Linked DNA regions of Macaca mulatta. The protein of the gene in region 4 interacts with the protein of the main gene of each other region in a pairwise test. Links are inferred from orthologs where the notes say so. Each region holds a gene or a part of one and is shown on either strand. Other genes may lie near its edges. The genes, in order: AP2A2, SP3, ERCC6L, HTT, JAKMIP1, TRIP10 and H2AP.

Region 1 (3,500 bases), on a different chromosome or scaffold from region 4:
GGGAGTGAGCAGACCCCGAGGACAGGGCACTCGCCTTCAGGGCGTTGATGACAGTCTCGATGTGTGTCTTGACAGCCTCGTGGGAGAACTCGGAGCTGGCCAGCGTGCACATGCTCTCCAGGGCCAGGTAGCGCAGGTTGGTCTCACGGTGCTGCAGGAACTGGCCCAGCTGGTTGCAGGCGCGGACGAGCAGGTTCGGCTCACTGCATGGAGGGAGGGGAAATGGGGGGGCGGTTTCCTCAGCAAGTGTGACACAAACTGGACAGAGCCTGCGTTCCCCAACGGGTCCAGATGGCAGATAGCAAAGTCACACCACACTCACCGCCACCGCACTGCTCAAGTGGGAACTCGGGAGCCTCCCCAGATGCACCTGACCCCTACCCCTGACTTCCGTTTTGCGTCCATTCTGTTCATCCCCCCAGTGACAGTCAGCAGCCCATGCATCCACTGGAGCTTCCCAGCACCTCCTGAGCCTCAATCTGCATGAGGCTCGCAGGAGGCCGGTCAAGCTGTGACCGGCAATGGGGTCTCAGCCAGAGGCACCAGCCCGGGGCAGGGAGAAGGCTGAGAAGGCTGGGAGCGTGGCTGCTGCCCCACTCACTCTACTGTCTCTTCAGAACGTGGCTTCTCCTCACATAACAACAGAGCTTTCTCTAAAATGGGAAATTTCACTTTTAATAGCTCCCAGCTCTCTCAGACTGAGTTTTCATCATTTGTAAAAATGCTGTAGTAGCAAATGGGTGGTGTTCACTAGCTGTAGAGAGCGTCTGCCCACAGCCTGGCATGTTTCCTCATTATCGGGAGCCTGGTGGGAGCTGCAATCTCATTCTCACAGGACCCTAAAGCACGGCACCACACGCAAGACCCACGCCAGCCCACATGCAGTGCACCACAACTGCTGAGCAGAAAAGGCGTGGGAGCAGAGGAGGCAGACGCTCCGGGCCGTGTGGTGGGGGCAGAGGAGGCAGACGCTCTGGGCCGTGTGGTGGGGGCAGAGGAGGCAGACGCTCCGGGCCATGTGGTGGGGGCAGAGGAGGCAGACCCTCCGGGCCGTGTGGTGGGGGCAGAGGAGGCAGACGCTCCGGGCCGTGTCGTGGGGGCAGAGGAGGCAGACCCTCCGGGCCGTGTGGTGGGGGCAGAGGAGGCAGACCCTCCGGGCCGTGTGGTGGGGGCAGAGGAGGCAGACCCTTCGGGCCGTGTGATGGGGGCAGAGGAGGCAGACCCTCCGGGCTGTGTGGTGGGGGCAGAGGAGGCAGACCCTCCGGGCTGTGTGGAGCGGCCAGTCACTCACCCTGTGCCTTGTGCTGTGTAGATGGGCACAGCCGTTTCCAGCACTGCCCTGGGACCCCGGACCCACCAAGTATGGCTCTATGCCCAGCAAAGTCACAGGACATGTGCACATGCCCCCCACCCCATCCCCGTCTCCTCTCCGTTCCATGACACGAGAAGCCAGTCAGGAGTGGGGATGCTCAGGAGAAGGAGGAAAAGGCCCTTTTGGGGGATGAGACCACAGTCAGCAAAGCAATTCATGGTGAGCTCAGAGGAGGATGAGCCGAGCTGCACGGAAAGAAAAGGGTCCAGCAGGGAGCAGACAGGCAGGACGAAGGGAAGGCCCGTGGAGTGGACAAACTAACTAGACATGATCAGCCCAGTCATGCCAACGAGAAGGAACATGTGTGCGTGCGCAAGATGAAGTTCGCTCCACAGGCGGCCGACACACCTGTCATGGTGAATGATTAAGCTGATCGCCTCGAAGAGCACGGCATTCTTCGCATTGGAGTGCTGGACTTTCTTTGACTTGGGTGGTTCTTGGGCTTTGTTCAGGATGGTCTCCAGGCACTCAGTCAGGCGGCCTCGCACTGCAGGGTCTTCTGGGCAAGACAGAATGGTGCTCACCAGGCTCCAGTGGCCCACAGCCCACCCTGCCCCTCCCGGCTGTACCCATACATCATGAGAGCATTTTTAATATAGTTCATTCACATCTGTGTACCCAGCTGGGAGCATTTACAAAACTGAGAAAGGCCGGGCACAATGGCTCACTTCTGTAATCCCAGCACTTTAGGAGGCCGAGGCAGGCCAGTCACCTGAGGTCAGGAGTTCAAGACCAGACTGGCCAACATGGTGAAATCCCGTCTTTACGAAAATGCAAAAGTGAGCTGGGTATGATGGCAGGTGCCTGTAATCCCAGCTACTCAGGAGGATGAGGCGGGAGAATCGCTTGAACCCAGGAGGCAGAGGTTGTGGTGAGCTGAGATCGCGTCATTGCACTCCAACCTGGGCAACAAAGGGAGACTCCGTCTCAAAGAAAACCTGCACAGATCTGATACTATAAAAGCACAATAGACCCAAACCCTAACAAAACTGTAGGCTCTGCAATAATTGCTCCACAAAAGCCAGCGCATATGGCAGCACTGGCAGAAAGGTCGATGAATCAAGAGGCAGGGCTAGTAACACACTTCTTAAAATAATAAACAAACCACTTAAATCTGAGACAGGGAATCAGACCGGCGCTAGTGCAGCTTCAGGAGCCGCGGCCTGCGCGTTACCTGGGGGTGGGTAGCACTGCAGCAGCCTCAGCAGTTTGACAGACAGCCAGGGAGCCGGGACAAAATAGTAAGTGTAATCCTGAAGATCTGTTGATGCGGACGTCACGATCTGTAAGACAGCAAAGGCAATCAGACACGCTGCTGGGCATGAGCCCCCGCTGCAGGGACCCAAAGAAAAGCCATACGCACTCCTCGGGTCATGCCTGAGCTGGAAAAATGGTTTTGTTTCATGTGCCAGGAGCGTCTGACACTGTTTGGTACCCCCAGGTTCGCTGTGAGAGGGCTGTGCTGTCACTTGGCAACACGCTGCCGCAGCTGAGTGGCAACCCTCACTCGGTACAAGACACCATAGCACCTGGATTTGAAACTACAGTCTTTCCTTTGTGGACCAGAACATGAATGAAACGAAAGAGAGAGCTTTAGGCTCCTCAGAAGGAAGAAGCACACCCCCACCCCCAGAAGCCGGCATTCTGACCCTACCCCACAACCCCACAGTTCCCCCCGACCACAGGTCAACCCAGATGGTGAGCTCGCTGAGGCAGGGAGGCTGCCCGCCTCACTCACATCCCATCTCTTTGTCCAATGCGGCCTTTGGCTTGGCAGATCCTCTGTCAACCTCCCGAACAAGTGACAATCACGACCACCTCACATTTCCACTGACATACAGCCCAGTGTCTCCTGTTTCTGGGAGGTCAATGTAGTTCCTCCCTTCCTACAAAGCTCACATGTGCGACACTTTTAGGCCATAAGTGAACCCATTTAGAAAAGTTCACCCTGACTCCTGCCCTAAGCTGCAAGATGCCAGCCCAGACTTGGGTCACAGACTCCTGCTACAGGGAGGCAAGTTCTAGGCTGTCTGTCAAAGACAGGGCTGAAAGGCACAAACACAAAGCAGGAAAGGCAAGAATCACAGCACTTCCGAGACAGAGACACGGCCAACATGAGCTGTCTCTC
Region 2 (4,137 bases), on a different chromosome or scaffold from region 4:
ATGCCTAAAATATCCTTTCTAGGGAAAGAGCTACCTTCCACCCAACAGATCCAGGTAGGAACAGAGTGATAATAGTGACTTCCCTTCCTCTCTCCCAGTCTACTTTTCACTTTTCACCTGTCCTGCTCTTCAGGGCACCCATCTCTTTTTCCCTTCCCCCCACCCCAAATCAGGTTATTTTGTGACTTTTATTTCCTTAAAAGTTTTTGTTGTAAAATAGTACACAGGTTATACCATTCAACTTTGAAGTTATTTTTCCAATTAAATGAGACTACAAGGTCTTACTATTAGGAGAGATGAACCTTATTCTTGGACTCAGAATTTTGAGTCTCGTTTCCGCATGTTTGTGGTTTTTAGGTCAATTCCCTAGAAATTCGATCTTTGTACAATTAAGAGCAAAGTAACCATACAATGTTTCTGATCCTGTGAGCATAGGCGGTTAACTGCTTTGGAACTGGGATGCAAACTCGCTATCTCACAAATGGATTACCTATTAAGTTAGTACACACAAAATCTAGTTGAAGTGCTTCACAACCTCATCCACCAGCACATCATCACATATCACACAAAATACAATCATCACAGTAATGGGAAAACTGATTCTTGAGCCAGATTTCTAAAAAAGAGGTATTGTGGACAGTGTTTCCACCTCTTGAATTTAACTTCTTTGTTGGCAACTATACTTGAAGGTAACAGGGAGAGATATCTCTTAGTTGGCAAAACACAGACATAAAACCTCAGCATTTTCCCCCAGGATGACAGCAAGATATCAAGGTTGCCAAAGAAGGAAGGAGTTTTAACCTAATCCAATGAGTGAAACAAGATTTTAAAATACAACAAAAATGTTCCAATGGGGGAAAAAAGGTACTTCACCAGTTCACGACTTTAAAAACGTTGGCAATGGTTGATGGGCTTGTTTCAGGAGATATCTGACTTGGTACCAAGAGGATTAAGAGGCTGGGGATAATACGTTTGTGCAGCAAAATGATTATGTGACTGACTTTTTAAAAAAACAGTATTCTGCCCCATTGGATACATACACATACCACAGGTAAAATGAAATATACTTTTAAGTGCCCGTTTTGGTGCCACTGGCCAAAATTAAAACTCTCCTTCCGTATGTGAGGTGACTTGAAATTTTTTTGCTTTAAATGCCTGCCTTCACGGTACGTGAAAGTGGGAGACCGGTTGGAAAGCTGGGGCTAAGGGGGCTGGGAGCGAGATGGCTGTCTGTGAATCAGAAAGCTGGATGTGTGTGAGAAAAATCCTCCTCCAGCCTCGGAGGGGGTGTCTCCCCTAATACCAGCTCCCTCCCCCCGGGCTCGTGGGGCGGGTCTGGTTTGCTCAGTAGCGGCAGCGGCCGCAGCAGCAGCCCCGGGGCTGAGCGGCGGTGCCCTCCTGGCAGCTCAGGCAAGCGGCGGCTCCAAGAGCGCGAGGCCCTGGGGAAATCCGGCCGAGGCTGCTGCCGGGATGGAGGTAGCCTCCAGTGGAGCCGGAGTCACCGGGGACGAATTTCCTCCCCAGCTCAGCTCCCCTACAGCTTGGCTAGGCCTGCTCCGAGCGCCTGCGAGGTGGAGGAGGCCTGCGCCTCGGGCCTGGCAGCGGCAGCCGGCGAGAGAGGCGGACACAGCGGGGTAACCGGCGAGCCGTAGCCGCTCTCGGAAACCTACGCTGCCACGGCCGCTCATTGTCTCGCCCCTTCCACCCGGGGGGCAAACAGGAAGCGCGCCGCCTGGCACAGCGACGGACGGGCGCCTGGACCAATGAGCACATCCGACGGAGAACACGGCGGCGAATGAGGGCCAAGAAGAGGGGCGGGAGTTCCGGGCAGGCTGTCACCCTCTTCCCCCCTTTTGGGCTGGAGGCTCCACCTTTTGTGTTTCCCGCACAGTCAATCAAAATAGGAAAAAAAAATCCCCGGACCGCTCCGGCCGTGTCCGCCGCCGCTTCCCGCATCCTCTCCCGCCGCCGCCGCCTTCGCTCCTCACCATGTGTAAGGCGGCGGGGAGCCCCGCCTGAGGTGCCCTAAACACACTATGACCGGTACGTAAAGCCGAGAGAGCAACCCTTGCTGCTGCCGCCGCCGCCGCTGCCGCCGACCACAGCCAGCCCGGGGCCGCTGCCGCCGGTCCTGGCCCCGTGTGTGCGACCGAGTGTCTGTGAGAGGCAGAAAGCTGCACTCCCCTGCGCCTCCCTCCCCTCCCCGCCAGCCACCGTCCACCCCCGAAGCCCCAGCAACGCCGTCTCCCCGCCAGGCCCCGGGGCGGGCGGCCCGGTCCGCCGGGAGCGCATCCCCCTGTGTGCGGGCGCGGGCGGGCGTGTGTGAGTGACTGACGGTGCGAGAGGAGCGAGCGCGAGTGAGAGCGAGCGGCGCGAAGGGAAAGGGGAGGAGAGGAGAGGGGGCAGGGGCAGCGCGGGGAGGAGGAGGAGGAGGGAAAGAGGAGGAGGAGGAGGGTTACAGGCAGCGGCGGGCGGGGGCAGCAGCAGGAGGGGAGGAGGGAGCCGCCGCCGCCGCCGCCGCCGCCGGGGGGCGGGTGGGGGAGGGGAAGGGGCCTGGGTCCGGGCTTTGGGAGTAATTTCGCCTCGGCCCGCGGGCCCCCTCCCTCTCCGCCACCCGCCTTCCTCCCCACCCCCACCCCCCCGCGCTGTGCCTGCAGCTCCCGAAAAGCCCGTGAAACAAGAGGAAATGGCTGCCTTGGACGTGGACAGCGGCGGCGGCGGTGGTGGCGGCGGCGGCCACGGCGAGTATCTGCAGCAGCAGCAACAGCACGGAAACGGCGCGGTGGCGGCGGCGGCGGCGGCCCAGGTGAGGAGCGGCTGAGCCCCGGCCCGGCTCCCCCCTCGCGCCGCTTTCTCCTCCCCTCGCCTCTCCCCTCCCTCCTCGCCTCACCCCTCCCTCCTCGCCTCTCCCCTCCCCTCCCCACCCCTCCCCTCCCCCCGCCTCGGGAGCTGCCCGCCCGAGGCGCCAACGCTCCGACCCCGCCCGCGACGCCCCGCCCCGCCCGCCTGCCGCCTTTTTGTGCGCGTGTGAGTGTGGGCCCCAGCGTGCCCTCTCGGGGGTGGGTTCCGGGCGGAAGGCGGAGGCCCGGCGCGCTAGCCCGCCGCCCGCCTGCCCGCAGACCGGGGAGCCGGGGTTCGTGGAGCGGGGGACGCCAGGCGGGGGCCGGCGGCGGGACCAGGAGGAGGAGGAGAGTGCGGGTTGGCGCTCGCCCGGGCGCAGTCGGCGGGGATCGAGTCGCACTTCCTGTGCGAGCGGCCGCCCGGCCCTAACCGCCACCCCCTCCCCCTGTCTCCCTCTCTGAACCCGCCCATTGGGGGTAGGACACTCAGCCGTCACCGCTCGCTCTGCTGGCCGCTACCTGCAGCAAGATAGGGCCGCCATCGCCGGGCGACGACGAGGAGGAGGCGGCCGCCGCAGCCGGGGCCCCCGCCGCCGCCGGAGCGGTAAGTCCCGCGCGCGGCCCGCCCCCGCTGAGGCCCGGCGCCCGCCATCCGGGGCCCGTAGCGCGCCCGCCCAAAAGGCCTCCCCGGCGCCCGCGCTTCTCCCGAGCCGCACGGGCCGCTGGGCTCCAGGGCGCCCTTTCCTGCTCTTTCGCGTCCCTGTTTGGATTTGAAGCCAGCCCAGGCTTTCTCGAAATTGTCACTGCGGCACCTCGCGCAAAATTCTTCACAAAATGAAGTCTGAGAGGGCGGGGGTAGAGGACTCCAAAATGGATGTTTGAGCAATTCCTATCAGTGCTGAAAACTCCTTCGCTGAACACTACAAAATTTTCAAGCACAGCCTATCGGCCATAGATAGTATCAACTAGAAGGAGTGTCTTTAGTTTTTAGTATTTTTGAAACTGGAGCATTTTCTGTTGGAAGTTACAGGATCTTACTGTTTTAAATCATACATTATTTTTAAAAAATGGGGGTTTATTATTTGAATTATCCTTTTGTATGCAGGAGTGAACACTTTTTGCTTTTTTAGTGACCATTCAAAATCGTTGATTTTTAGTTTTTGCAGACTACTTAAATTTGCAGTGAGTTTTTTTTGTAAGGGGCGTAAGTGAAACATTTAGCAGCCTTTGAAATTGGCAAGTTGCTTAGATAGTACTTTATCTTTTGAAATTGAATATGACTATCAGTGTTAGAAAA
Region 3 (3,177 bases), on a different chromosome or scaffold from region 4:
ATCAAACTCTGGTGTTTTCTCAATCGAGGCAAATTCTAAACATCATCGAACGCCTCTTAAAGAATAGGCACTTTAAGACATTGCGAATCGATGGGACGATTACTCATCTTTTGGAACGAGAAAAAAGAATTAACTTATTCCAGCAAAATAAAGATTACTCTGTTTTTCTGCTTACCACTCAAGTAGGTGGTGTTGGTTTAACATTAACTGCAGCAACTAGAGTGGTCATTTTTGACCCTAGCTGGAATCCTGCAACTGATGCTCAAGCTGTGGATAGAGTTTACCGAATTGGACAAAAACAGAATGTTGTGGTTTATAGGCTAATCACTTGTGGGACTGTAGAGGAAAAAATATACAGAAGACAGGTTTTCAAGGACTCATTAATAAGACAAACTACTGGTGAAAAAAAGAACCCTTTCCGATATTTTAGTAAACAAGAATTAAGAGAGCTCTTTACAATCGAGGATCTTCAGAACTCTGTAACCCAGCTGCAGCTTCAGTCTTTGCATGCTGCTCAGAGGAAATCTGATACAAAACTAGATGAACACATTGCCTATCTGCAGTCTTTGGGGATAGCCGGAATCTCAGACCATGATTTGATGTACACATGTGATCTATCTATTAAAGAAGAACTTGATGTGGTAGAAGAATCTCACTATATTCAACAAAGGGTTCAGAAAGCGCAATTCCTTGTTGAATTTGAGTCTCAAAATAAAGAGCTCCTGATGGAACAACAAAGAAATAGAAATGAGGGGGCCTGGCTAAGAGAACCTGTATTTCCTTCTTCAACAAAGAAGAAATGCCCTAAATTGAATAAACCACAGCCTCAGCCTTCACCTCTTATAAGTACTCGTCATACTCAGGAAGAAGATATCAGTTCCAAAATGGCAAGTGTAGTCATTGATGATCTGCCCGAAGAGGGTGAGAAACAAGATCTCTCCAGTATAAAGGTGAATGTTACCACCTTGCAAGATGGTAGGCACCCATATGAAGGTACATGTAGTGCTGACTCTATAGCTACTTTACCCAAGGGGTTTGGAAGTGTAGAAGAACTTTGTACTAACTCTTCATTGGGAATGGAAAAAAGCTTTGCAACTAAAAATGAAGCTGTACAAAAAGAGACATTACAAGAGGGGCCTAAGCAAGAGGCACTGCAAGAGGATCCTCTGGAAAGTTTTAATTATGTACTTAGCAAATCAACCAAAGCTGATCTTGGGCCAAATTTAGATCAACTAAAGGATGATGAGATTTTACATCATTGCAATCCTTGGCCCATTATTTCCATAACAAATGAAAGTCAAAATGCAGAATCAAATGTATCCATTATTGAAATAGCTGATGACCTTTCAGCATCCCATAGTGCACTGCAGGATGCTCAAGCAAGTGAGGCCAAGTTGGAAGAGGAACGTTTAGCATCTTCACCACAGTATGCATGTGATTTTAATCTTTTCTTGGAAGACTCAGCAGACAACAGACAAAATTTTTCCGATCAGTCTTTAGAACATGTTGAGAAAGAAAAGAGCTTGTGTGGCTCTGCACCTAATTCCAGAGCAGGGTTTGTGCATAGCAAAACATGTCTCAGTTGGGAGTTTTCTGAGAAAGATGATGAACCAGAAGAAGTAGTAGTTAAAGCAAAAATCAGAAGTAAAGCTAGAAGGATTGTTTCAGATGGCGAAGATGAAGATGATTCTTTTAAAGACACCTCAAGCACAAATCCATTCAACACATCTCTCTTTCAATTCTCATCTGTGAAACAATTTGATGCTTCAACTCCCAAAAATGACATCAGTCCACCGGGAAGGTTCTTTTCATCTCAAATACCCAGTAGTGTAAATAAGTCTATGAACTCTAGAAGATCTCTGGCTTCTAGGAGGTCTCTTATTAATATGGTTTTAGACCACGTGGAGGACATGGAGGAAAGACTTGACGACAGCAGTGAAGCAAAGGGTGCTGAAGATTATCCAGAAGAAGGGGCAGAGGAAAGCAGTGGCGAAGCCTCCAAGTATACAGAAGAGGATCCTTCAGGAGAAACACTGTCTTCAGAAAACAAGTCCAGCTGGTTAACGACATCTAAGCCTAGTGCTCTAGCTCAAGAGACCTCTCTTGGTGCCCCTGAGCCTTTGTCTGGTGAACAGTTGGTTGGTTCTCCCCAGGCGGCAGAGGCTACGAATGACTATGAGACTCTTGTAAAGCGTGGAAAAGAACTAAAAGAGTGTGGAAAAATTCAGGAGGCCCTAAACTGCTTAGTTAAAGCGCTTGACATAAAAAGTGCAGATCCTGAAGTTATGCTCTTGACTTTAAGTTTGTATAAGCAACTTAATAACAATTGAGAATGTAACCTGTTTATTGTATTTTAAAGTGAAACTGAATATGAGGGAATTTTTGTTTCCATAATTGGATTCTTTGGGAACATGAAGCATTCAGGCTTAAGGCAAGAAAGATCTCAAAAAGCAACTTCTGCCCTGCAACACCCCCCACTCCATAGTCTGGTATTCTGAGCACTAGCTTAATATTTCTTCACTTGAATATTCTTATATTTTAGGCATATTCTGTAAATTTAACTGTTGTTTCTTGGAAAGTTTTGTAAAATTATTCTGGTCATTCTTAATTTTACTCTGAAAGTGATCATCTTTGTATATAACAGTTCAGATAAGAAAATTAAAGTTACTTTTCTCAAGTGTTTTCCATCCACTTTGTTTCACTGAGATGATACTGGCAGAAGCCTGTCATTATCAGTCTAGATCTTAAGACATGCTTGTGAACATGCTGTTTCATGTTTTCAGCTTAATACAGGTGGAGCATCCCTAATCCAAAAATGAGGAAACTTTCTGAGTGCTGACATGATGCCACAAGTGAGGAAAGTTCCATACCTCATGTCATGTGACATGTCACAGTCAAAATGAAGGTGTACAACACACTGTTTACTCAGCATCCCCAAGGGAAAAGAGATTCTGTAAGCCCCCTTCAGCTACTATATATCCTTTCCACACAGGCCCAGATTCTCCCATGCAAGCCTGCCTACAAAGGGCAATAAAATGGTTCAACATACACAAACTTTGTTTCAAGCACAAAATCATTAAAAGTAATTATAAAATTACCTTCAGACTTATGTATATAACGTGTATATGAAACATAAATGGATTTCGTGTTTCGACTTGGATCCCATCTCCAAAATAT
Region 4 (3,500 bases):
GTATTTTTAGAACTTTCAAGTGAAATATTATTTCATCCTTCCAGATCATATAATGCTTGAGTTCTGATTGTTAATCATAAAGTCAAGAAAATTAAAAGATAATAAAATGAAAGTGACTTTTAGGTGTTAGAGTTTTATGTACAAATTCTGGTGTGTCATTGGAGCTATCACATGAATATTTCAAAGGCCAATAGCATTGGGTCTTTACAGTTAAAACTTACTATTTTTAAGTTTAAGTAGTACTATAGATTATTTAATAATTGAAATCAATAAATATTAATTATTAAAATGTTTTGTGGTATACTTTGAGAATCATTGCTTTTAACTTTTTCCATATAGGTTTATTAACTTTAATAGCATTCTAAACATAACATCTCTACATTCTTTGTGTTTAATACTGTAGAGGTATAAAAATACTTATATATGATGATAAACCATATTAGAGTAAATTAAATATTCTTATGAGTTTCATTTTAGAGTGCATTTACTTAATTTTGAAATCCTTATTTTTAGCAAACTAAAGGAATGTTGGTACATTATTTACTAGGCAAAGTGCTCTTAGGAGAAGAAGAAGCCTTGGAGGATGACTCTGAATCGAGATCGGATGTCAGCAGCTCTGCCTTTGCAGGTAGTTCTCACTAGTTAGCCACTGGTGTGGACCTTCACTCTCTGCCGTCCACCCCATGCCCTTCCTGCCCGTCCCCCTGCACCTGGTGGACAGCACAACTGGGGGCAGCAGTGGACCCAGGTTGCTTAAATGGGGGATATTTGGGCTTCTTTCATAATACTTACTCTGAAGCTTGTGTGTCTGTGGTGTTTGCATCATATATTTGCTGTTTTCTGTGGTTTAGACTGTTTTAAAATTAGGTTTATGCTCCTTGAGCATAGGGCTTTGTGAGTAGGGATGGCACGTCGAAACGTCTCATGAGTTGGATGGGTTATGCTGGGGGTTGGAAATGGGATGAAAAATTGTGGGATGAAAAATTGCCTATGGATAGTTTAACTTGAAAGAATCTGCCTTTGTTTACAGATAGTTATCTTTTTTTTTTTTTTTGAGATAAAGAGTCTCACTGTGTCACCCAGTGCTGATACCCAATGTCACTGGCATGGAGTGGTGTGCTCTTGGCGCACTGCAGCCTCCGCCTTCTGGGTTCCAGCCGTTCTCCTACCTCAGCCTCCCAAGTAGCTGGGACTACAGGTGCCCGTCACCACGGCTGGCTAATTTTTGTATTTTTTGTAGAGACGAGGTTTTACCATGTTGACCAGGCTGGTCTTGAACTCCTGAATTCAAGTGATCCGCCTGTCTCAGCCTCCCACAGTGCTGGGATTACAGGCGTGAGCCACTGTGCCTGGCCAGTTACAGATAGTTATCTAATGAAATTCTCTGTGTACTTTATAAAAGATGAGGATTAATTTAAGGTACTAATAACTGGATTATATGAGGGTGGTTTTGGTTGTATAATCCTATCTAAAAGAATATTTTAGCTGTAACTGAAAGTAAGACTTAAATATTTAGGGAGGAAAATCTGAATAATTCTAGTAGTAATTATTTACAAAATAAAAATAGATTTTATTTTTGATTACACAAATTAAACAACAATAAAACATCACAGCGATCTAGACTAGTATAAAGGTCACTTGCTTACCAACCCAACCGCCCCAGGAGTGACCACTGCCAACAGCTTCGTGTTGACCTTTTTGCCATGATTTCTATATAGTCTTTTTTGTTTTTAAATGGTAATTAAAAAAGTCAACTAGGAAAATGTGTTAGAAGTTTATCTTCCAGGAGAATAATAGGACTGGAGTCGAGATCTTGAACGTGGCTTGGAAGAAGGCAAGCCCACCCCAGAGAGATTACAGTTGTTCGTGACCACTGCTTGCTTAGAGGACCTGCGTGTCTGGGACCGCCTAGTTTTGTGCCCCTGACTAGGCTGCCCCTTAATTATGAACGTCTTTATAAATTGCCCTAGCCAGGGCTTGGAGTAGTTGGTTAAGAACTTGAACTTCAGTTTTTGCAGTGAAACACCGTTTGAGAATATTACCTTCTGATAAGCCTTATTTTATTAAGATGGGTACTGTAGCGAGAGGCAGTGTGAGTGGTACATGAGGGATGCACTGCTGTCCTGCATTTCACTGTCTTCAGGATGCTATGCAGTGATGACATTTGGAAACATTTCATCAAACATTCCATCAAATGGAAACATTGGATGACAGTGGAACTTTGTGTTATTTTGCAAGCCTTTGATTCCATATTGAATGTTTTCTCTCGCCATTTGACAAATGAGTGTTTCTCTGTCTTCAGCCTCAGTGAAGGATGATATCAGTGGAGAGCTGGCTACTTCTTCAGGGGTTTCCACTCCAGGGTCAGCAGGTCACGACATCATCACGGAGCAGCCACGGTCACAGCACACGCTGCAGGCGGACTCAGTGGATCTGGCCAGCTGTGACTTGACAAGCTCTGCCACGGATGGGGATGAGGAGGATATCTTGAGCCACAGCTCCAGCCAGGTCAGCGCCGTCCCATCTGACCCTGCCATGGACCTGAATGATGGGACCCAGGCCTCCTCGCCCATCAGCGACAGCTCCCAGACCACCACCGAAGGGCCTGATTCAGCTGTCACCCCTTCAGACAGTTCTGAAATTGTAAGTGTGCGGAGGGGCCTGCCATCTTTTATTTTTTATTTGAGACAGAGTCTCACTCTATAGTGCAGTGGAGGCCGGGCACAGTGGCTCACGCCTGTAATCCTAGCACTTTGGGAGGCCGAGGTGGGCAGATCACTTGAGGTCAGGAGTTCGAGACCAGCCTGGCCAGCATGGTGAAACCCCGTCTCTACTAAAAATACAAAAATTAGCTGGGTGTGGTGGCACATGCCTGTAATCCTAGCCATTAGGGAGGCTGAGGCAGGAGAATTGCTTGAGCCCAGGAGGCGGAGGTTACAGTGAGCCGAGATCGTGACACTGCACTCCAGCCTGGGTGACAGAGCGAGACTCCGTTTCAAAAAAATAAAAATAAAAAAATAAAGTGTAGTAGCACGTTCCCAGCTCACTGCAACTTCTGCCTCCCAGGCTCGAGCGATTCTCCTGCCTTAGCCTCCTTAGTAGCTGGGATTATAGGCGGGCACCATCACACACAGCTAATTTTTGTATTTTTAGTAGAGATGGGGTTTCACCATGTTGGCCAGGCTGGTCTCAAACTCCTGACCTCAAGTGATCCACCCATCTTGGCCTCCTAAAGTATTGGGATTATATTTGTGAGCTACCATGCCCAACCCTACTGTCTGCCATCTTTTGAGCTCTTCCCTGGAGACCCAGACCTGAACCCTCCTGCTTGTTCTCTTCTTGTCTAATACCCCTAATGACAGCGCAGCTTAGATCACTAGTGGAGAGCTTGACCTCATCTGATACCTTCACTGAAGGGAACAGCTTAGTGTCTTTTCCACTGAACACTGAGGTAAAAAATTGGAATAGTTGATTATGTGAACTCTGCTAAAATTGAGTGC
Region 5 (3,968 bases), about 3.5 Mb from region 4:
CTGGCTCAGAGCCTGAAGAGATGCAAGGTCCCACCCTCGAGGAGTTAAACAGAGAGCCACAGCCTGCAGTGGCAACTGCTGCTGCCTTATGGACTAGAAATTGTTCCCTCTGCCACTTGTCCCACAGCCCAGTCCACCATTACACACCAAGAGAGTGGGGCCACGGTCCTGCCACTTCCTCAGGCAGCCTTCCTGGCTGGGCCAAGGCAGGGGCCTGTCCCCCTCTCCCTGCACATGGCTCTCTGACAGCACGGGCAGTGTCTGTGTGGCCATCTCCCTAGGAAAACAGAGCCCCGACCAAAGTGGGACCATCTCTCAGGTGACCTCACTGTGTCCCGTGTCCCGTGTCCCCAGTCTCTAGTGGGCAAGATCTGCTTAAGGAAAAACTATACAAACAAATATCACACTGGACGTGTATGAAAAGTTCTGAGAACACAATGAGAGAACCACACAATCTTTCCGGTAGAGTCTTGGAAAATCACAGTGATGGAACCTAAGAGCTGGACTTTATCATGAATCGTTCTCCAGATACACAAGGGAGGGGAGCATTGTTTTAGAGAGGGGGGTGAAAAAAAAGCATGTGGGGAAAAACCCAAGTGTGAAGACATGTCTACACAACACAGAGGCAGCAGGCGTGGCTGAGACATCGTGGCAGGAAGAGGGGAGAGATGGGCCAGGGAAGTCAGGATGGAAGGAACTGGTGAGGTAGTGGGGGCAGTGGGAGTCATAGGTGGTTTGTGAAGGAAGAAAATGCCAGTCATCTCATGCATTGGGTCCACACTGTGATCCTTTGGGAGCGGCTTACTGCAAAAAGACTCCAGGTAAGAATTACCCCAGACTCCAGAGCGGAGATGTTCAGCATTACAAACCGGTACATATCTCAGCAACAAAAATCTTGCAACAAGCCACAAACCTCCACTGTGCGCCGCAACATCAGTCTGTGCAGACCCGCAGATCTCCAGGAGGGTGACAGTGCCCTGCTAGGAAAGGATCCTAATCCCCCCACTCCATCCTCGAATGTGTCCCTCCTCCTTGCCCATCCCAGCTATTGGAGCCACCACCCACAAGCCCAGGTTGCTAGAGGAAGGGCCAACTCCTCCCATGGCCTCGCCCTCCACACCAGCGGGTTGCTTTGACTTAGGGGAGATGTCCCTGCTATGCCCAACATTCACTGTGGGTGGAGCCCTGGGAGAGGGGCTGAGGCTGCCCCTGTCCTCCTCCCCACCTCCTCCTCTGCTCTGGAAGGCAGAGGCCGTCAGATGGTAACAGCATCCTGGGACAGCTCCGCGGTCCAGGAAAGCTCAGGAGGGGCAAGGGGATCTCCCTGACCTTGGTCTACAAGGAGCTGGCCAGCCGAAGTTAGGGCGTTCCCGGAGAGAGCACAACACGGGCAAAGGCCAAGGACAGTGTGCCTGCGAGTGTGCGCAGATGGGGCGAGCGGCGGAGGAGGGCTGGCGGTTAGATACAGTATCGCTGGAGCTCAGAGAGCCGGGCAGAGGCTGGCGGAGAGCCGAGGTTGGCCCAGCCTTCAGGAGACCGGCGAGCTGGGGTGTGTGGGAGCGGGATGCTTCTAAGGCGAAAAGAAGAGCCAGCCTCGTAAGCGGCCTCTATCTGGGCTGCCCTGGCCGGATCCTCAGGAGCCCACAGTAGGGGGGATGGAGCGAAGGACCTAGGAGCTGGGAGGCGAGGCCGCCGCGCGCGCACTGACGTAGGCCACCGAGGCCGCTGGCCCCGACGCACGGCGCCCGGCAAGGTGTCTGGCACCACCGGAGTCAATCCTTGCGCGCCATCTCCGAGCCCAGCGCGCCCAGGGCGCGCTGGGCCGGCAGGAGGGTGGGTGCCAGCCTTTCTTCCCATCTCTCCAGCCTCCTCCCCGGCGCCCACGTGGGCGGAGCAGCGCGAGGGTGTGCGTGGCAGGGGCCGCGGCGGCGTGTGCGGTGCGTGGGGTGGAGTGCAGGCTGGGCGGCCTCGCCCGCGGGCCCCCCGCCGCCGGGGCGCGGCCCCCAGCTCCATCTTCTTTGCCACCTGGGCGGGGATCTGGGGGACTACGACCTACCCTGCGGAAGACACCGAGGGGACCGGCCGGCCACACCCCCCAGGCCACTCCGGCAGGCACCGGGTGGGTCCCCCCTCCCGCTCCTTGGCTTGGGGGCGGAATCCGGAGAGGAGTGGAAATAGGGGTGGCGTGAAGGAGAGCTGGGGGCTGGGGGCGGAACCGGGAGGGGGTGTTGGGGGAAGCGACGCAGCGGCTGGGAGATTTTGCAAGGGGGTCTGAAGAGGAGTGGGGGATGGGTACGGAAGGGTGGGGGAACGCTGAGGTGGGATGCGAGAGTGGAAGGGGGACCCGAAGGGGGCGCGATGACCGGAGGACGGGGAGATGGACGATGGGGCGGGGCGGCACCGGTCGCCGCGTCCCTCGCCGCCGGGTCCGCCCCTCGGTCGCCGGGTCCACGGGTTCTCTCTGGCCTGCGCGCGCCTCTCCTCCCGCCCCCCGGCGCACCTGTACCCACCTGCTCGGCGCTCAGGCCCGAGCCGGGCAGCAGCAGCGGGCGTAGCGAGCGCAGCCCCGCGCCGCATCCTCCGGCCGCCCCCTCCCCGCTGCGAGCTTACGCCGGTGTCGCCGCCGCCACCGCCTTAAAAAGGACAAAACGGAACAGAAAATGAATGCATGCACAAAAAATCGTAAAAAGCAATTGAGGAGGATGGCAGTCGCGCGCGCGGCTCGGCGGGGCGGGAGTCGAGAGGCCGCGGCACTGGTGGCCGCGATAGGGGCAGGCGGCCGGCGCGTGCCGCACGCGGGTGGCTGCAGCTCCCTCGGTCGCCGGCGCCCGGCTCCGGCACGGCCCCGCCCCTCCCTAGGGAGCCCGTCCGATTGGTCTGTCTTCCTGCCAGTCAGGCAGGAGGGCTAGGCGCCCGCCCCTCCCCGCCCCCGCCCCCGCCCCAGGCAGACTCTGGGAGAGCTTCTGCAGCCGCGAGAGGGGGCGCGGAGCTGCCGGAGCGTGCGCACTAGGCCAGCGGCCGGCCCGGGCAGGGCTGGGGTCCCGGCGCTGAGCGCCCTCAGCCGCGCCGGGCACCCTGGCGTCTCGCTGAGTCGGAGCAACCCCCGGGAGGAGCTTTCAGGCTCTGGTCAAGGCTCGGGCCTCGGGAAGCTATCCCTACCCTCGGGGGCTCGAGCCTGGCGTGGAGCTTGCAGGTAAAGCGGGGCTGGGGCCGTCCTGGCCGTCAGTGGTCAGGAAGACGCAGCGACCCCGGAGATCCATGTCCCCCTCTGTACGGATGAGAGGTCTGAAGGTCAGAGGTTAAAGCGCACGCTAAAGTCGGCAGAGCCAGCAAGGGGCAGAACTGGACATATGCCAGCCTAGGGAGCTGCCCCCACCAGCCCAGGCTGCCCCCAGCAAAGCCACATCACCAGGTCATAGCCAAATGAACGATGTGCTGTCGAGCTGAGACTTGGGAGGGGCAGGACTCAGCTGGGCAAACATTCATTCAGTGTCATTAGACAAATATTTATTGAGCACCTACTGTGTGCCAGGCAGTCAAGAAGATGTGGGGACACCATAGTGAACAGCAGAGAGGAAGAGGCGCCCACCAGAGCTTACTTTCTAGCAAGGAGAAGGGAGGGAAGAGCACCCAGCAAAGGGAGCAGCGTGGGGGAACACCCTGACTGCAGGGAACGGGACATGTTTGAGAATCTGATAAAAGTGTCTGGGCCACAGAATGATGAGAGGGAGAGTGTGGAAGATGGGGCGTGGGGGCACAGAGGGGCAGCGCTTGCAAGGTCTTGCAGGCTGGGCAGAGTTTGGAGACTGTCTCGCCTGGAAGGTGGTCCCATGGACTATGGTCAGATTGATATTTTTTAAACTGCACCAGTCAGGATAAGCTGTGTTAGCCACAGTAACAACCAAACCCAAATCTCCCTGGTGTGTCTTGCTACATGGTACATCCTTCCTCTGTCAGTGGGGCTCTGT
Region 6 (3,500 bases), on a different chromosome or scaffold from region 4:
TTCTTACCGTTTTTTTCTTTCTCCATTTTGTTTTTCCTTTTTTCTTTTCGCGTCCATCCGTCCATCCGTGCATCCATTCCTCCGTCCATTCGTCCTCATTTTCTACCTCCTACACCCCCCTACCCCTTCAACTATCCCCCTCCCCGGCCCCCTCCGGTAGCCTCGCCCCCCACCCCTCTCCCCCCTGGGGGGTCCCGTACCCTCGGCATTGCCTAACGGACCCCCGTCCCCCCGCTCCGGCCGTGACCCCTTGGCCATACTGAGCGAGATCAGTAAGTCGGTCAAACCGAGGCTAGCATCCTTCCGCAGCCTTCGAGGCAGCCGTGGGGTAAGTGAGGCCTCGGGGCAGGAGAAGGTGGTGGCCCTAGCCTGCCCAGCGGCGGGTGGCGGGACCCTGGGCTCGCTTCCTGCCGCTGGCTGGGCCCCTCTTCCCTGGTTGCCCAACCCAGACCCGCTTTGCTTTGTGCATGGCCTCGCTGCCAAGAACCATGGCTGGGGAAGGAAGTGAAATATCTCAGAAGGGTGCAGAGTCTGGCAGCCTAGACTCCTTGATCCCAAATTCAGCCCTCTACCCACCTTGCAGACAGTGGTGACCGAGGATTTTAGCCATTTGCCCCCAGAGCAGCAGCGAAAGCGGCTTCAACAGCAGTTAGAAGAACGCAGTCGTGAACTTCAGAAGGAGGTTGACCAGAGGTAAGGTGGTGGGGTGGGGAAGGGCAGGCAAGGAACATGATAAAATAGTAGATGGTTTCCATTTATTTATTTATTTTTTAATTTTATTCTATTTTATTTTTATTTTGTGACAGGGTCTTACCCTGTTGTCCAGGCTGGAGTGCAATGCCATGATCTCAGCACACTGCAGTCTCCACATCCCAGGTTCAAGCAATTCCTGTGCCTCAGCCTGCTGATTAGCTAGGACCACAGGCATGCACCACCACGCCCAGCTAATTTTTATATTTTTAGTAGAGGCGGGGGTTTCCCCATATTGGCCAAGCTGGTCTTGAACTCCTGGCCTCAGTTGATCTGCCTGCCTTGGCCTCCCATAGTGCTGGGCTTATAGGCACGAGCCAGTGCCCTGGTCTGTAAATGAATGACATTTAAGTGGTACTCAAAGATCTCCCCAACAATCCCAAGGCCCTGACAGTTTTACAGGTGATTCCTACCACACTTACGAGAAACAGTTACTTCTTGGCCAGGTGCAGTGGCTCACGCCTGCAATCCCAGCATTTTGGGAGGTTGAGTCAGGAGGATCACCTGAGCCTAGGAGCTTGAGACCTGCCTGGGTAACAGAGACCCCATTTCTAGCAAAAATAAAAAAATTAGCTGGGTGTGGTGGTTTGTGTCTATAGTCCCAGCCACTTGGGAGGCTGAGGTGGGAGGATGGCTTAAGCCTGGGAAATTGAGACTGCAGTGAGCTGTGATTGCACCACTTGCACCTCAGCCTGGGTGTCAGAGTGAGACCCTGTCTCAAAAAGAAAAAAAGAAACAGTTACTTCTTGTCTTATACAAGTCATTCCAGCAAACAGAAAAAGAGTGAAAGCTGTCAGCCTCTTTAGGCTGACGAATCCTGATTCCCAAATCAATGGCCAAGAATTCAAGAAGATAAAATCGAGGGCTCGTTTTACCTTATTTATGATAATAGATGCAAAATCCTAGCCAAGCAAATCCAGTGTTTAAAAAATAATACATCACTTTGGGAGGCCAAGGCGGGTAGATCACTTGAGGTCAGGAGTTTGAGACCAGCCTGACCAACATGGTGGTCTCTACTAAATGGTTTGTCTCTACTAAAAATACAAAAACTAGATCAAGACCATCCTGGCTAACATGGTGAAACCCTGTCTCTACTAAAAATACAAAAATTAGCCAGGTGTGGTGGCGAACACTTGTAGTCCCAGCTACTCGGGAGGCTGAGGCAGGAGAATGGCATGAACCCGGGAGGTGGAGCTTGCAGTGAGCCAAGATTGCGCCACTGCGCTCCATCCTGGGTGACAGAGCGAGACTCCGTCTCAAAAAAACAAACAAAAAAAATACAAAAACTATCTGGGCATAGTGGCACGTGCCTGTAATTCCAGCTACTTGGGAGGCTGAGGTGGAGAATTTCTTGAACCTGGGAGGTGGAGGTTGCAGTGAGTTAAGATTGCGCCACTGCACTCCAGCCTGGGTGATACAGCGAATCTCTACCTCAAATAATAATAGTAATAATACATTAGCCGAGTGTGGTGGCTCATGCCTATAAGCCCAGCACTTTGAGAGGCTTGGTAGAAGGATCGCTTGAGCTTAGGAGTTCAAGGCCAGCCTGGGCAACACAGTAAAACCCCATCTCTTAAAAAAAAGAAGAAGAAAAACCCAAATAAATTTTTTTAAAAACAAAAAAAAAAAAAAAAAGAAAAAAGCCACCATTCGTTGGGTTTTATCCCAGTAATGCAAAGATGGTTCAATATCAAAAAATGTATCCATCTAGCTCACCACATTAATTGGCTAAAAGAAAAAAAAAGCAGCCTATGGTTATCTAACAGCTCAAACACTTAAAATATTCACAATAAAAAAATCTGCCAGATTAAAAAAAAAATCTTTACTCACTCTTTCCAAGCAACAAAATCCTCTTCCCAGTCCTGTTACATAATAGGAATGACGTTTGCCACTTGCAAACAGGCAGCCAAATTATATTTTGCCATTTGCATGTAACCTCTTGGACAGAATGGCTTTTATTGGTGTAAAGTTCCATTCAGAACTCTCTAGTTCCTGGGTTTCTACGGTGGAGGGATTAAGGGTGCATGTTCTAGAGTCACGACAAACTGAACTTGATTTCCAGCTTCATCTCTGAGGTCTTGGGCAGCTTGTTTCACCTTTTAATTCCTCAGTTTCTTCATCTGTAAAATGGGTCAGGTATTAGAACTGGAAATGAAGTTGGCCAGGTGCAGTGTGGCTTACACGTGTAATCCAAGCACTTTGGGAGGCCAAGGCAGGCAGATGGCTTGAGGCCAGGAGTTTGAGACCAGCTTGGCCAACGTATGGAAATCCTGTCTCTACTAAAAATATAAAAATTAGCCAGGCATGGTGGCGTGCGCCTGTAGTCCCAGCTACTCTGGAGGCTGAGGCACAAGAGTCACTTGATCCCGGGAGGCGCAGGTTGCAGTAAGCCGAGATTGCGCCACTGCACTCCATCCTGGGCGACAGAGTGAGACTGTGTCTCAGAAAAAGATAAAAAATAACTGGAAGGAAGTTGAGCTCAGATCTGGTCTTTTCCAAAGGTCTATTATAGTCATGACTACCTGTATGTACAGACATAGAGGAGACGGATGAGAAACTAATGATAATGATAACAGTATTTATTAGTCACTTACTGTATTCTAGGCACTATTCTAAACAGTGTACATGGATTTATTCGAATTCTCAAGTTTTCCTGAGAGATTGCATGCAGACTTAAGATCCTGTTTTGTTTAGTGTTATATTTATTTATTTTTTCCCCACCGCCTCCTTCCCCTCGTTTTTTTTTTATT
Region 7 (3,151 bases), on a different chromosome or scaffold from region 4:
GCAGAAACAATGCCAGCTTAGACGGAAAGGGACAAATAGAGGAAGAAATGAAAGAAGGCCATAGGACTCCCAAAATTTGACAGGAGAAAGCAGGCTGATAAAACTACTCAGCTGTAAACATATGCTACCATTCAAAATAAAGGAACAATGACTGAGGGCAGAACCTAGAGGCCAGAGGGCAGATTTATGACCCCAGGTGAAGTCATAGGATCAGAGTGATCAAAGGGAGGAGTCTTAAGTCATAGAATATTCCCAGGCCTTGAAACCTAATGGTTGGATTTTGAAATTGTTTGGATTTAAGACTCTTTTGTTCTTTCTACTTTTTCCCCTATGGAATGGCAAAGTTATTGGCTGTAAATGAACCAAAGTCAAAGGGAAAACACAGAATTACTAGAAAGGAAAATTAAATAATAGAAAAGAAACATCTCTTAGTGCTTTTGCTTCACCTAGGAGAGACAAGAAATATACATCTGGGCTTAAACTGAGCACAAGATGCACTTCTCCGAGACGGGCGGATCACAAGGTCAGGAGATCGAGACCATCCTGGCGAACACGGTGAAACCCCATCTCTACTAAAAAGTACAAAAAAAAAAAAAAAACTAGCCGGGCGAGGTGGCGGGCGCCTGTAGTCCCAGCTACTCGGGAGGCTGAGGCAGGAGAATGGCGTGAACCCAGGAGGCGGAGCTTGCAGTGAGCCGAGATCTGGCCACTGCACTCCAGCCTACGCAACAGAGCGAGACTCCGTCTCAAAAAAAAAAAAAAAAAAAAAAAAAAAAAAAAAAAAAGATGCACTTCCCTATCAACTGTTTACCTGACACTGACAGGTAAACTTATTGAGCATCTTATTATTAATTGAAAAATGATTAAAATATATTTTTCAACCATTATGGAAAACAGTATGGCAATTCCTCAAGGATCTAGAACTAGAAATACCATTTGACTCAGCCATCCCATTACTGGGGATATACCCAAAGGATTATAAATCATGCTGCTATAAAGACACATACACATGTATGTTTATTGCAGCACTATTCACAATAGCAAAGACTTGGAATCAACCCAAATGTCCATCAGTGACAGACTGGATTAAGAAAATGTGGCACATATACACCATGGAATACTATGAAGCCATAAAAAAGGATGAGTTCGTGTCCTTTGTAGGCACATGGATGCAGCTGGAAACCATCATTCTCAGCAAACTATCGCAAGAACAGAAAACCAAACACTGCATGTTCTCACTCATAGGTGGGAATTGAAGAATGAGATCACTTGGACACAGGAAGGGGAACATCACACACTGGGGTCTATTGTGGGGAGGGGGGAGGGGGGCGGGATAGCATTAGGAGATATACCTAATGTAAATGACGAGTTAATGGGTGCAGCACACCAACATGGCACATGTATACATATGTAACAAACCTGCACATTGTGCACATGTACCCTAGAACTTAAAGTATAATAATAAAAAATAAAAATAAAAAAATAAATAAAATGCATTTTTCAAATAGGGTAAAATCATGACACTCATACAGATACGAAATGAACACATGCTACAAGAAAAAGATGTTATGACTGCTTCAAAAGGGAAACCAAAGAGTCGATATGGGAATATTCATCAGTAATATTAAATGATTGTGCACATGGAGGCAAAACTGGTTTCATAAGGTGAAGACAACTGAACCTCTACTAAAGAATATACTGTACACGTATCAGCCACCTACAACTAACAAAAGGCTATAAAAGACTTCACAGATAATGTAAGGCTAGAATCAGATAACCTGCAGTGGTGTCCTAAAGATAGAGCAAAGTTTTCCATTGAAACACACTTTTATTTTTATAATGTCAAAATCAGGTAAAGAGTTATAGTTCCCTCAAAATCAGGGTTCAGTCATTAGGGTGACTAGATCAGTGTCACAGACATTTCTAAGCTGAGGTCTGATCAGGGACCAGTGGACACCAGTGAAATCACAAAGCCTAGGGATGTCACAAAGGCAGCTAGCTCCCTGACCAATCAGGGCCTGGAGCAGAGGGATCCAATAGGCAGCACCAGCGTCCTCAGAGACTTACTTGAGCTGGAGAATCAAGCAGAGCTGATCAGAGCCAAACCCAGCAAATATCATGTCAGAGAAAAATAACCGTAAGAACTCCTCTGCAAATAACAACCAGATTCAAGACCGGTCTAGAAATGAGCTGCGGGTCCCTATGAGCTTCGTGGACCGAGTTGTGCAAGATGAACAAGATGCCCAAAGCCAGAGTTCCTCCACAATAAATATCCTCCTTACCCTGCTCGATTGCCTTGCTGACTACATCATGGAGCAGGTAGGCTTGGAGGCCATCAACAATGGCAGGATGCGCAACACTTCACAAGATGGGGAGAGAGAAGGGGACAACCACCATGAGCCCCACCGCACTGAGAGTGATGGAACCCGCTTTGTGTTTGATGAGATGCCCAAATCCGGAAAGAATGACTGAAGACTGGGTCCCAGAGCCTTGAGGGGATCCTCACAGGCTTAGCCAGGGCAAAAATGTGTCACAGCTGAGGAATATCTGCTGTTGTCATCAACAAGTGCTACTAAAGGATGTAAATCCATGAGTATGTTTCTGACTCCTTCCAGTTTCCGTCTTTTTGGGTTGTAGGTGTCTGTGAGACATCAAGGAGAAGCTATCCCCAGAGAGCTGAAGTTGGGGGGGGGGGCGGGAAGTGGTGGCCAGTGTGGAGTGTTTGAATCAGTGATTTAGAGGGGGCAGTTTCCAACGGTGACAGAGAGGGCACGGGCCCTGTGGGGAGGAACTGGCTGGGATAAAGACACCGAGACTTCCTAATTGCCTCTGAACAGGAAGGCCTTGTGAGGCCGGGGAGTTGGCTGGGGGCCTCTGAGGCTTGCTGAATTCCCAGCCTGATGCTGGGGCCTGGGGTGGAGCTGCAGACTCTGACTGAAGTGCAGGAGGCAGAGGGTGGTGGCCACAGGGGCGGGTGGAGAGGGGGCACACTGGCTGGCATGAAGTTCATGGGATAGGGACTTTACATGGAGATTGAGAGTGAAGGAGAAACCATGATGAAAAATGCAAAAAAGAAATGATGGCCTGCTGGATTTCATTTCTTATTTCTTTATGCCCTGACTTATTATGAAAGAGGATTTGAGACAGGGAT

What was found.
Region 1: the proteins of HTT (region 4) and AP2A2 interact in a two-hybrid assay, tested with the Homo sapiens proteins (2 studies listed by BioGRID and IntAct). The link is inferred for Macaca mulatta from reciprocal best matches to the Homo sapiens genes HTT and AP2A2.
Region 2: the proteins of HTT (region 4) and SP3 interact in binary tests that used the Homo sapiens proteins (3 or more experiments, as listed by UniProt). The link is inferred for Macaca mulatta from reciprocal best matches to the Homo sapiens genes HTT and SP3.
Region 3: the proteins of HTT (region 4) and ERCC6L interact in binary tests that used the Homo sapiens proteins (3 or more experiments, as listed by UniProt). The link is inferred for Macaca mulatta from reciprocal best matches to the Homo sapiens genes HTT and ERCC6L.
Region 5: the proteins of HTT (region 4) and JAKMIP1 interact in binary tests that used the Homo sapiens proteins (3 or more experiments, as listed by UniProt). The link is inferred for Macaca mulatta from reciprocal best matches to the Homo sapiens genes HTT and JAKMIP1.
Region 6: the proteins of HTT (region 4) and TRIP10 interact in binary tests that used the Homo sapiens proteins (3 or more experiments, as listed by UniProt). The link is inferred for Macaca mulatta from reciprocal best matches to the Homo sapiens genes HTT and TRIP10.
Region 7: the proteins of HTT (region 4) and H2AP interact in binary tests that used the Homo sapiens proteins (3 or more experiments, as listed by UniProt). The link is inferred for Macaca mulatta from reciprocal best matches to the Homo sapiens genes HTT and H2AP.

What each region holds. Positions count from the first base shown.
Region 1 is NC_133419.1:881,384-884,883, reverse strand, and holds part of AP2A2 (AP-2 complex subunit alpha-2), read right to left. Parts: intron 2,656-3,500; coding exon 2,547-2,655; intron 1,872-2,546; coding exon 1,721-1,871; intron 204-1,720; coding exon 35-203; intron 1-34. UniProt on the Homo sapiens protein: Component of the adaptor protein complex 2 (AP-2). Adaptor protein complexes function in protein transport via transport vesicles in different membrane traffic pathways.
Region 2 is NC_133417.1:78,864,131-78,868,267, reverse strand, and holds the start of SP3 (transcription factor Sp3), read left to right. Parts: upstream 1-1,337; 5' UTR 1,338-2,036; coding exon 2,037-2,043; exon of another isoform or gene 2,044-2,357; intron 2,358-2,657; coding exon 2,658-2,806; intron 2,807-3,321; coding exon 3,322-3,444; intron 3,445-4,137. UniProt on the Homo sapiens protein: Transcriptional factor that can act as an activator or repressor depending on isoform and/or post-translational modifications. Binds to GT and GC boxes promoter elements. Competes with SP1 for the GC-box promoters.
Region 3 is NC_133426.1:78,744,552-78,747,728, reverse strand, and holds the end of ERCC6L (DNA excision repair protein ERCC-6-like), read left to right. Parts: coding exon 1-2,330; 3' UTR 2,331-2,677; downstream 2,678-3,177. UniProt on the Homo sapiens protein: DNA helicase that acts as a tension sensor that associates with catenated DNA which is stretched under tension until it is resolved during anaphase. Functions as ATP-dependent DNA translocase. Can promote Holliday junction branch migration (in vitro).
Region 4 is NC_133410.1:3,307,755-3,311,254, forward strand, and holds part of HTT (huntingtin), read left to right. Parts: intron 1-547; coding exon 548-628; intron 629-2,302; coding exon 2,303-2,643; intron 2,644-3,500.
Region 5 is NC_133410.1:6,836,288-6,840,255, reverse strand, and holds the start of JAKMIP1 (janus kinase and microtubule-interacting protein 1), read right to left. Parts: upstream 2,801-3,968; 5' UTR 2,511-2,800; intron 1-2,510. UniProt on the Homo sapiens protein: Associates with microtubules and may play a role in the microtubule-dependent transport of the GABA-B receptor. May play a role in JAK1 signaling and regulate microtubule cytoskeleton rearrangements.
Region 6 is NC_133424.1:7,608,440-7,611,939, forward strand, and holds part of TRIP10 (cdc42-interacting protein 4), read left to right. Parts: intron 1-160; coding exon 161-328; intron 329-583; coding exon 584-693; intron 694-3,500. UniProt on the Homo sapiens protein: Required for translocation of GLUT4 to the plasma membrane in response to insulin signaling. Required to coordinate membrane tubulation with reorganization of the actin cytoskeleton during endocytosis.
Region 7 is NC_133426.1:37,817,750-37,820,900, forward strand, and holds H2AP (huntingtin-interacting protein M), read left to right. Parts: upstream 1-1,347; 5' UTR 1,348-2,118; coding exon 2,119-2,472; 3' UTR 2,473-2,651; downstream 2,652-3,151.